Xenopus tropicalis: one gene and its partner. The protein of the gene in region 1 purifies or fractionates together with the protein of each later gene. This does not show direct contact. Links are inferred from orthologs where the notes say so. Each region holds a gene or a part of one and is shown in the gene's direction. Other genes may lie near its edges.

Region 1 (3,928 bases):
GCGACACTAGGGAACCCTGAATCCACATCTCTGGACTGACTGCTAGTGCATGTATCGTTTCCAAAGCATTTATAGGCCGCTGCGGTTCTCCCTCATAGCTCTGTTGCACTGTCTGTGCCTGTAGTGCTAGAATACCTCGCAGTGTGTACAGTGTCTTTGCATCTATGCCATGAGAAAAAAGGAGAACCTTCCCTCGGGTGGCATTTACCAGGGGGTGGCAGAAATGTACTTGTATAAGGTGGGGGTGGCAGCCAGGGGCACTGATGCCATGAGGTGAGTTGAGATATTTGCCTCAGGTGGCAGCGGCCCGCAACTTACCAGGGGTAGCAAAAACAGGCACAGGCAATGTATTTTTTCTCTACCTACAGGGCACTTGTAGTTTTGTAATATATTTTTTATCCCTGCCTGCACTTAGAGCGTGGTAACTGTCTGAAAACCATGACATGCCACATTTTCTTTTGCTTGTGGGAATCTGCAGCCTTAGGCAGCCACATACACACAATAAATAGTGACTGTCTATGGAATCTTAGGGTCCCCATACAAGGGCCAATTCTATCTGCCGATATCGGTCCCTTAGACCGACTCGGCAGCTTATCGGCCCGTGTAAGTGCACTAACGACAGGCCTGCCTGACTGATATCTGGCCTGAAATCAGACAGATATAGATCAGGCAGGTTTGAAAATTTAGTCGGATCGGGGACTGTTAGCTCGCTGATGTGGTCCCCGAACCAACTGCGACTGCGCCTATGCCTGTCGTTCTAATTTGATCTTTTGGCCCCAGGGCCAAATGACTGAATTAGCCCGATATCACCCACCCATAGGTGGGGATATAGGGAGAAGAGCCGCTCGTTTGGTGGCCTTGGTGGCTTGGTTTTTCGCATATACATAAAAAACAGATGGCATCAGCAGAGGTATCATTTGGGGCAGAAGTTTGTCTAAGGCAGGTCTGGACTGGGATTCAAAGCCCTGGCATCTCAATTACTGGCATTTGCCAGAATCCACAGGTTGCCATTTGGGGCCTAGACTGGTGGGTCCAGTCAGAATCAGCCATATAACTGAGCCATATTTGGTGTGTACAGCCGTGATGGGACGGTCCCCTTTAAGATTCCTAAAGAAATATGTTTTCACAACACAAACTTCCCGCCCTTACAGCAACCAGTGCGTCCCGCAGCAATTCCCATAACATCCTACTTATAATGCAGGCACACTAACTGGCCACTAGATGGGGCGCTGTATGAAGTGATGCGGGAGTAAAGGCCGGTCTCTATGGTAGGTATCGGTGCCGGGCGGCCATGCTGTATGTACAAGGGCATGAATACACTGTGAGACTGTGGCATTGCTTCTCTCCGGTAGGTTATCGCTGGGGTGTGTGGCCGGGTCTGTGATACACGGTGTAGGGATCCTAGTCTAGGGGAGGAACGGGTGTAGGGTGGGACAGAATGAGTATTTACCCTGGGTCCCAAGGTTTATAGGGGGCACAGCCATGAGTGATGTAAACTATGACTCCCAGGATCCTCCAAAAGCCTTAATTCAACTATAGTTCAGCAACACTTTTCTGCAAAATGGACACCCCTAATTTATTGTGAATATAGCTCCAGATGAGACTGGGGTTATACCGCCATACAGCTACATAGCCAGGGGTACAGGCCAAGCCATTCAGTGATTCCTCAGGGATGTGCCCTCTGGCCACTCAGCCCTGCCCTTGGCTCTGGCACAGGGAATCCCAGCTGCAAGTTATATGGCTGTGCCAACTCATGGCATTATAGGGGCACAATACACACACATTCAGCTTTGTCAGCACAAACAGGATACATTGAACTGACACTTGCATTCTTCCTATTTTATTACCTTAACAAAAAGTACAAATTCTATTTCTTTTTCATTATAATGAGTTACAAGATGATTGTTGGGTTGTTTTACTCCCTCCTCAATGTAATGGGATGAGTTACAAAGGAAAACTGCAATGTATACAGACCTGCTCCTATATATAATAGATTTCTCCCGTTGTCCCTGCCAGGTTGTGTGATTAATGTATGAACTGCTTTTATTCACAGGCCTCTGTGATCCCAACAGACTGCTATGGCTCTCTCAGCAGCACTCAGGCTTCAGTCTCTGCGCTCTCTGGCCCCTCACTGCAAGCTCTTTGCATCTGCTCTCCAATCACACACACAGTAAGTATGGCACAGTGGGGCTCATTCATACACACATGGCACATTTGCACCAGGGCAGTAACCCATAGCAACCAATCTGTCATTAGATTTTTCCAGCCAGCTGCAGGGAGAACACGAAACGCAAACTTCTGATTGGTGGTCATGGGATACTGCCCAGGTGCAAATTTGCTCAGTGTTTTTAAATGCCACAGTAAGTAACAAATGCATACAATGTGTTGCTGCAAAAAAATGCAGTTTAATGGTTCAGGTTGTGTCTTAAGGTGCCCATACACGTGAAGATTCACTCGCTTTGCTCTGATCTTCACCTGATATCCCCACCTACGGGTGGACGATATCGGGGAACATATAGGCTAATAATGGTGGCAATGGGGCAGTCGGTTCGACTGAATCTTTTAACCTGCCCGATCATTATCTGGCCAATTTCAGGCCAGGTATCGATCGGGTCGTTTCTGCTCCTACACGGGCTGATAAGCTGCCGAATCAGTCCAAAGGATCGATATCAGCAGCTACAATCAGCCCATGTATAGGGACCTATAGCAAAGAAGCACCATTTTGTTTCCCAGGGCTAGTGCAGTGCAAATGTGTGATATTTCAATATGGGTTACTAGACTGGGGCAGCGTTTGCTCATGTGACGCAGTTTTTTGTGCCTAATTCAAGATTCAAATAACTTTATTAATCCCAAAGGGAAATTGCTTATGCTCGGTTACAGATGCTCACAGTTATCTAATAAATAAATAAAAAACCTCCGTAAAACAGTAAGTATCAACTTTATAGGAATGATAATACATTATGGCTCAGATCAGGCCCAGACTGAGGTTCAAAATAGGCCCTGGCATTCCAAGTACACATAGGCCCAAACAGCCCGCCCCCAGCCCAATAAATAGTGAGTGTCTATGGCATCTTACAGCAGCCCCTCTGGCATTTGCCAGAACCCACAGATTGCCAGTCCGGGCCTTTCTGCTGTAGGAACAGGAGTCACTTGGAGACCACCAAAGCAGGATTTTGGGTTATATAGCAGATTCTCAGTGCTGCCCCAGGGAAAGCACTGAGTCTACAGTATATCACAAAGTATTATTTGATTGTAGGTGGGAAAGTATATGTCCCTAAGTGACCCAGCGGTAAATAATGATCACTTCTAGAAGTTTCTTATGATACAGTGCAGTATGATGGTGGGTGATATTCCATTCAAATGTATATATGGGCAACGTGCATTCCTCCAGATTGTTATACCAATTGCCCTTAATCTGGTGACTCTACTTTGCTTGCAGGCAGCCATGCCGGTCTCACCGCCTTGCTCCAACAGACGACGAACTCTATCAGAGAACCACTGTTACCCGCCTAGAGAGAGACTCTGCGGAGTTCATGTTTATTGAGACTTACAGCTCACAGGGGTTCATTATTAATGGGGACAAAGTAGTGGGCCCGTGTGCTGTCATTCCGAAGGCCATCCTGCAGTGGAACGTGAGTGGGAATTTGCTTCATCCCAGTGTGACCAGCTGTCCTCCCAAACTGCTTGCACTGTGCAAATGACTATCCAGTATGCATGCATTGTCCTGGAGGGATTATTTTGAGGTTACAGTATGTGTGAGCAGGTTGGGGGATTAAACTGGGAAGTAACATACCTTTAGACACACTCCCCCATATGTAATAAGAGGCACTAAGTTTTTCTTGGAGTAGTAACCCATAGCAACCAATAAGATGTTTGCTTTTAAACAGGTAACTTCTACTTGCTGATTGGTTGCTATGGGTTACTGCTC
Region 2 (3,928 bases), on another chromosome or scaffold:
GGGTGAATTTGGGCTAATTCAGTCGTTTGGCCCTGGGGCCAAACAATCGAATTAGAACGCCAGTAATAGGCGCAGTCGGTTCAGGGACCGCATCGACTCGCCGCTAGTACTGTGCACAAACATTTTGTAAAAATGCTAAATTTTGCTTTAATTCTTCACAGTTTGTGAGCACACAGTTTTTTAAAAAAAAAAATTCTGTGGGCAAATTTTTTGCAGGTATAGGCAGTGGGTCCTGGCACACCAAAGTATATTAGGTAGTGAGAGACAGTGTTTTTTTGACATCCCATATAAATTATACATAGTGGGAGGCTGTAACCACTGACACCCTAGTACATTATAACATTATGTAACGTAGTGAGCACTGCCTCCCAGGTACAGTACATAATAAAAGTTGGTACCAAGCACCTTAGATACAATCTGAGACAAGGGACACTGGTACGCTATATATCTTCACATTATATATACCACTTATCTTAGATATAGTAAAAGACAGTGGGAATTACACTGCATACAGCCTGAGGCAGTGTATACTGGCACCCCAGGTAAAATCAGTGTAGAGAAGTGGATACTACAACCCTATGAATATTTAATACCATTAGAGAAAATATACACTGACACTGCAAGCTATAAGATATAATGGAACTGGCAATGGGTTCTGGAAGAAAGGAACCAGTGCTCAAAGTATATCATCTGCACAAGCTATAGTGGGTACTGGCAAACACATTACATGAGTAAGAGAAAATCATGGTGGTATGCAATGGGTCAGAGATTCTGAAGCATCATATCTGCTTATCCCTCTACGGTAAAGAAAGCCACTACTTATAAAAAAAACAGGTATAAAACTGCTGCCATGTGCCATCTACTGACTTTTTCTGGTACTGCACCTCAATTCTGTTCCTATTTTTAAAGTGACACTGACATGTTCCTATAAAAATCCATAGAAATTTGTCAGTATTACTACTAACAGTTGCAATTTAAAATTCTAGCTAGTGAAAAGTCCCCAAAAGACACCCCAAGCTGAGTAGTACTTACCCAATTGATACTTCAACACAGCGAAAGGAGACTATGCAGTTGTTGTCCATCATGCTGGGTTGGGGGTGGCACAATCCTTCCATAGGCTTTCAAAGTACTGTTTCCATTTGTAATTAGCCTATGGAAGGATTTGATGCCCCCACCTAGTGTGATACAAGAAAAGAGCAAGGTTCTTTCTGCTCTGGGCCCCCTTCAAGGGGAGCAGGTACCACTGGCCTAGGGGGTGGGCTGTGGGGGAGTTTTAATTATAAAGCTTTTCATGCTGCAACCATTTAGTAACACCGAACATTCCTATGGATTTTCATAGTCAGTATTCCTTTAATAAGAAAATTTAATCCAAATGTGTCAACTAACACTACAATTTACCGCAAAAAATATGACGTCACGAAAATGCTTTTCTACCACCACAATAAAGTCGCATTTCAGAGTACCCCTTGTTTGCCATTAAGTAAGATGGCGCCTAAGCTCAAAGGGGATGTGGATTTATGTCATCACTAGTGGTCAGAGGACTTCGACAGGGGCTTAACTAAAGATGGCGGCGTCCAAGGTGAAGCAGGACTTGCCACCTCCTGGGGGCTATGGTCCTGTGGATTACAAGAGGAATTTACCCCGCCGAGGACTGAGCGGTGAGATTGCGGAGAGAACGCGAAGCATGAAATGCAGGAATCAAAATGGCAGGGCAGGATTAACTGCCGGCCACATTCTCTTGATAAAAACAATCGCAACATTAGTGTTGTCAGGATGTCATTGACAGTTGTATTGTATAATCTATGAACATAATGCTTAGGGCGGAGAAGGGATTTGCACCTGGTTTACCAGTATTTTAGGGGGGCCTTTAATGGGTATTATATCTGTTATCGTAACAATTGTAACATTTTTTTAGTAACACTTGTTACATTTTGTTTTTAGTATGCACTCGGTGATGTCTAACCTAACTGTTGGTGATCTACAGCTTTCAGTACTTGTAGGGCCACATGCCTGAGCTTCCCCCGATGACATTTTTATTTCCATGCTAAACACCTAGAAAGAGTATTTCTGTTCTGTGCCATACATAAAGTTTTGAGGTTTGCAACTTTATCTTTAATCAGTGCTATGCAAAGGGCCCTATGGCTTTTGCCCCCATATGTAATAAAAGCACAGCCTTTCCCAGGTGCAGAATCTCATAGCAACCAACATGATGATTGCTTTTAAACAGGTGATCAGTAAATATTGCCTGTTAATTGTTTGCCAAAGGTGACTAGAACTGTATCAAACATTTCACTTTTTGTTACATAACAGGGGTACCCAACCTTTTTACCTGTGAGACACTTTCAAATGTCAAGAGTTGGGGAGCAACACAAGCATAAACAGTTCCTGGGGTGCCAAATTAAGGCTGTTATTGGCTATTTGGTAGCCTATATAAGTAACATAAGGGGCCATTATGATGAGCAGGGAGTAAAGTGCACTAAACAGGCACAATCGTGTGACATTGCTAAGAGCACCTACTGTATTCAGGAGGTAGTCAGGTAGGTTCTTGCACCTCTTAGGGCTGGATCATCCATATCTTTTTCTTTCTGCATTTTGCATATAGGCAGAGAGAAGCTGCTGTCATCTGGTCTTTCGTGTAGCCCCAATTACAGGCATGGTGTCAGCCTGTGTGGAGCTACACTGAGTGGATTTTGGAGGGAAGAATGCATACATTTTGAATTTCCACATTGATATCCGCTAAGTGTAGCCCCATACAGGCCAACGCTATACCTGTCAATGGATCTAAAAAACTGAAGACAGTCGATCTGCATACAAAACGCAGGCTGACTAGAGCGAGTGATCCACTCAGTGTGCCCTTGCCCTTCGTGCTCTTTCACTCCTGTCCTTGTTCATAGTAAATAACCCCTATTTTCTGTGTACTAATTGTGTTGCCCTCCCATGGCATGCCACCATGCTTGCACAATTTAGCTGATTTGCAGTGCTTAGCCTTAAGGTGGCCATACACGTAGTATCGGTCGCAGAGAAGATTGTTCGTTTCCCCCACTGACATTCAGGGCTGAATCATAAGATGTGGAGGTAGAAACAATAGGAACTGTACCTCCTATTCAGCCCTGACGTGGATTTTGTTTGCCCACCTTCAATGGCGCCAGATCAAAATCTTTTAACCTGGCTGATCAATGAGATGACCGATATCTGATGACGATATCGGTCATCTCGTCGATCTGCCGTACATGCACCGAATATCCTGCGAAAAGAGGTTTCATACGATATCACCGGTGTGTGTATGGCCAGCTTTAGAGTCAGTATTTTGCATTAGACAGATATGTGTGCTATAAAATGATGATAGTGATCTGATTTATAAGATCTGGTCATAATTGCATTAACCTCATGTATGAAATAGAAACAGTCACCATGTTTCTATTCAGTATAGTATATATATATATATATATATATATATATATATATAATATAGCACAGTCCAAATTAGATGCCGCACTCACAGGACTTAGTAGAAATAAAGAAAAAATTTATTGATGGAAACACGTCAAACTATATATATATATATATATATATATATATATATATATATCTGTTGTTGGGGATTACAAATGCTTATTGTGAAAACTCCTGACCTGTAGTATAACTGTCATTTTTGGTTCTCTGCAGGGTACTCGATGTTTGCTCTGGGTGCTGGGGTCATGCTTTTTGGATACTGGAGCATTTTTCGCTGGAACAGAGAAAGGAGGTAGACCTAATAGTTGTATCAATTGTTCAGTATTACTGGGCTTCAGAAGGAGGTGTGTCATGCCAGAACTTGGGTTGCTTTACTGTTCATATTGAAGAAGCATTGCATTACATTCAACTCAATTTCTATTTAATTGGTGTAATTATTAATATGTACAAAATTAGGTGTATACATTGAAAAAAC

Evidence for each region.
Region 2: the proteins of ndufaf3 (region 1) and ndufa13 purify together in Homo sapiens (co-immunoprecipitation; 3 studies listed by BioGRID and IntAct, with this or other methods). This does not show direct contact. The link is inferred for Xenopus tropicalis from reciprocal best matches to the Homo sapiens genes NDUFAF3 and NDUFA13.

Annotation. Positions count from the first base shown.
Region 1 is NC_030680.2:136,757,596-136,761,523, forward strand, and holds the start of ndufaf3 (NADH dehydrogenase [ubiquinone] 1 alpha subcomplex assembly factor 3), read left to right. Parts: upstream 1-1,300; 5' UTR 1,301-1,348; intron 1,349-2,053; 5' UTR 2,054-2,078; coding exon 2,079-2,170; intron 2,171-3,439; coding exon 3,440-3,632; intron 3,633-3,928. UniProt on the Homo sapiens protein: Essential factor for the assembly of mitochondrial NADH:ubiquinone oxidoreductase complex (complex I).
Region 2 is NC_030683.2:53,117,359-53,121,286, reverse strand, and holds the start of ndufa13 (NADH dehydrogenase [ubiquinone] 1 alpha subcomplex subunit 13), read left to right. Parts: upstream 1-1,541; 5' UTR 1,542-1,564; coding exon 1,565-1,658; intron 1,659-3,666; coding exon 3,667-3,745; intron 3,746-3,928. UniProt on the Homo sapiens protein: Accessory subunit of the mitochondrial membrane respiratory chain NADH dehydrogenase (Complex I), that is believed not to be involved in catalysis. Complex I functions in the transfer of electrons from NADH to the respiratory chain.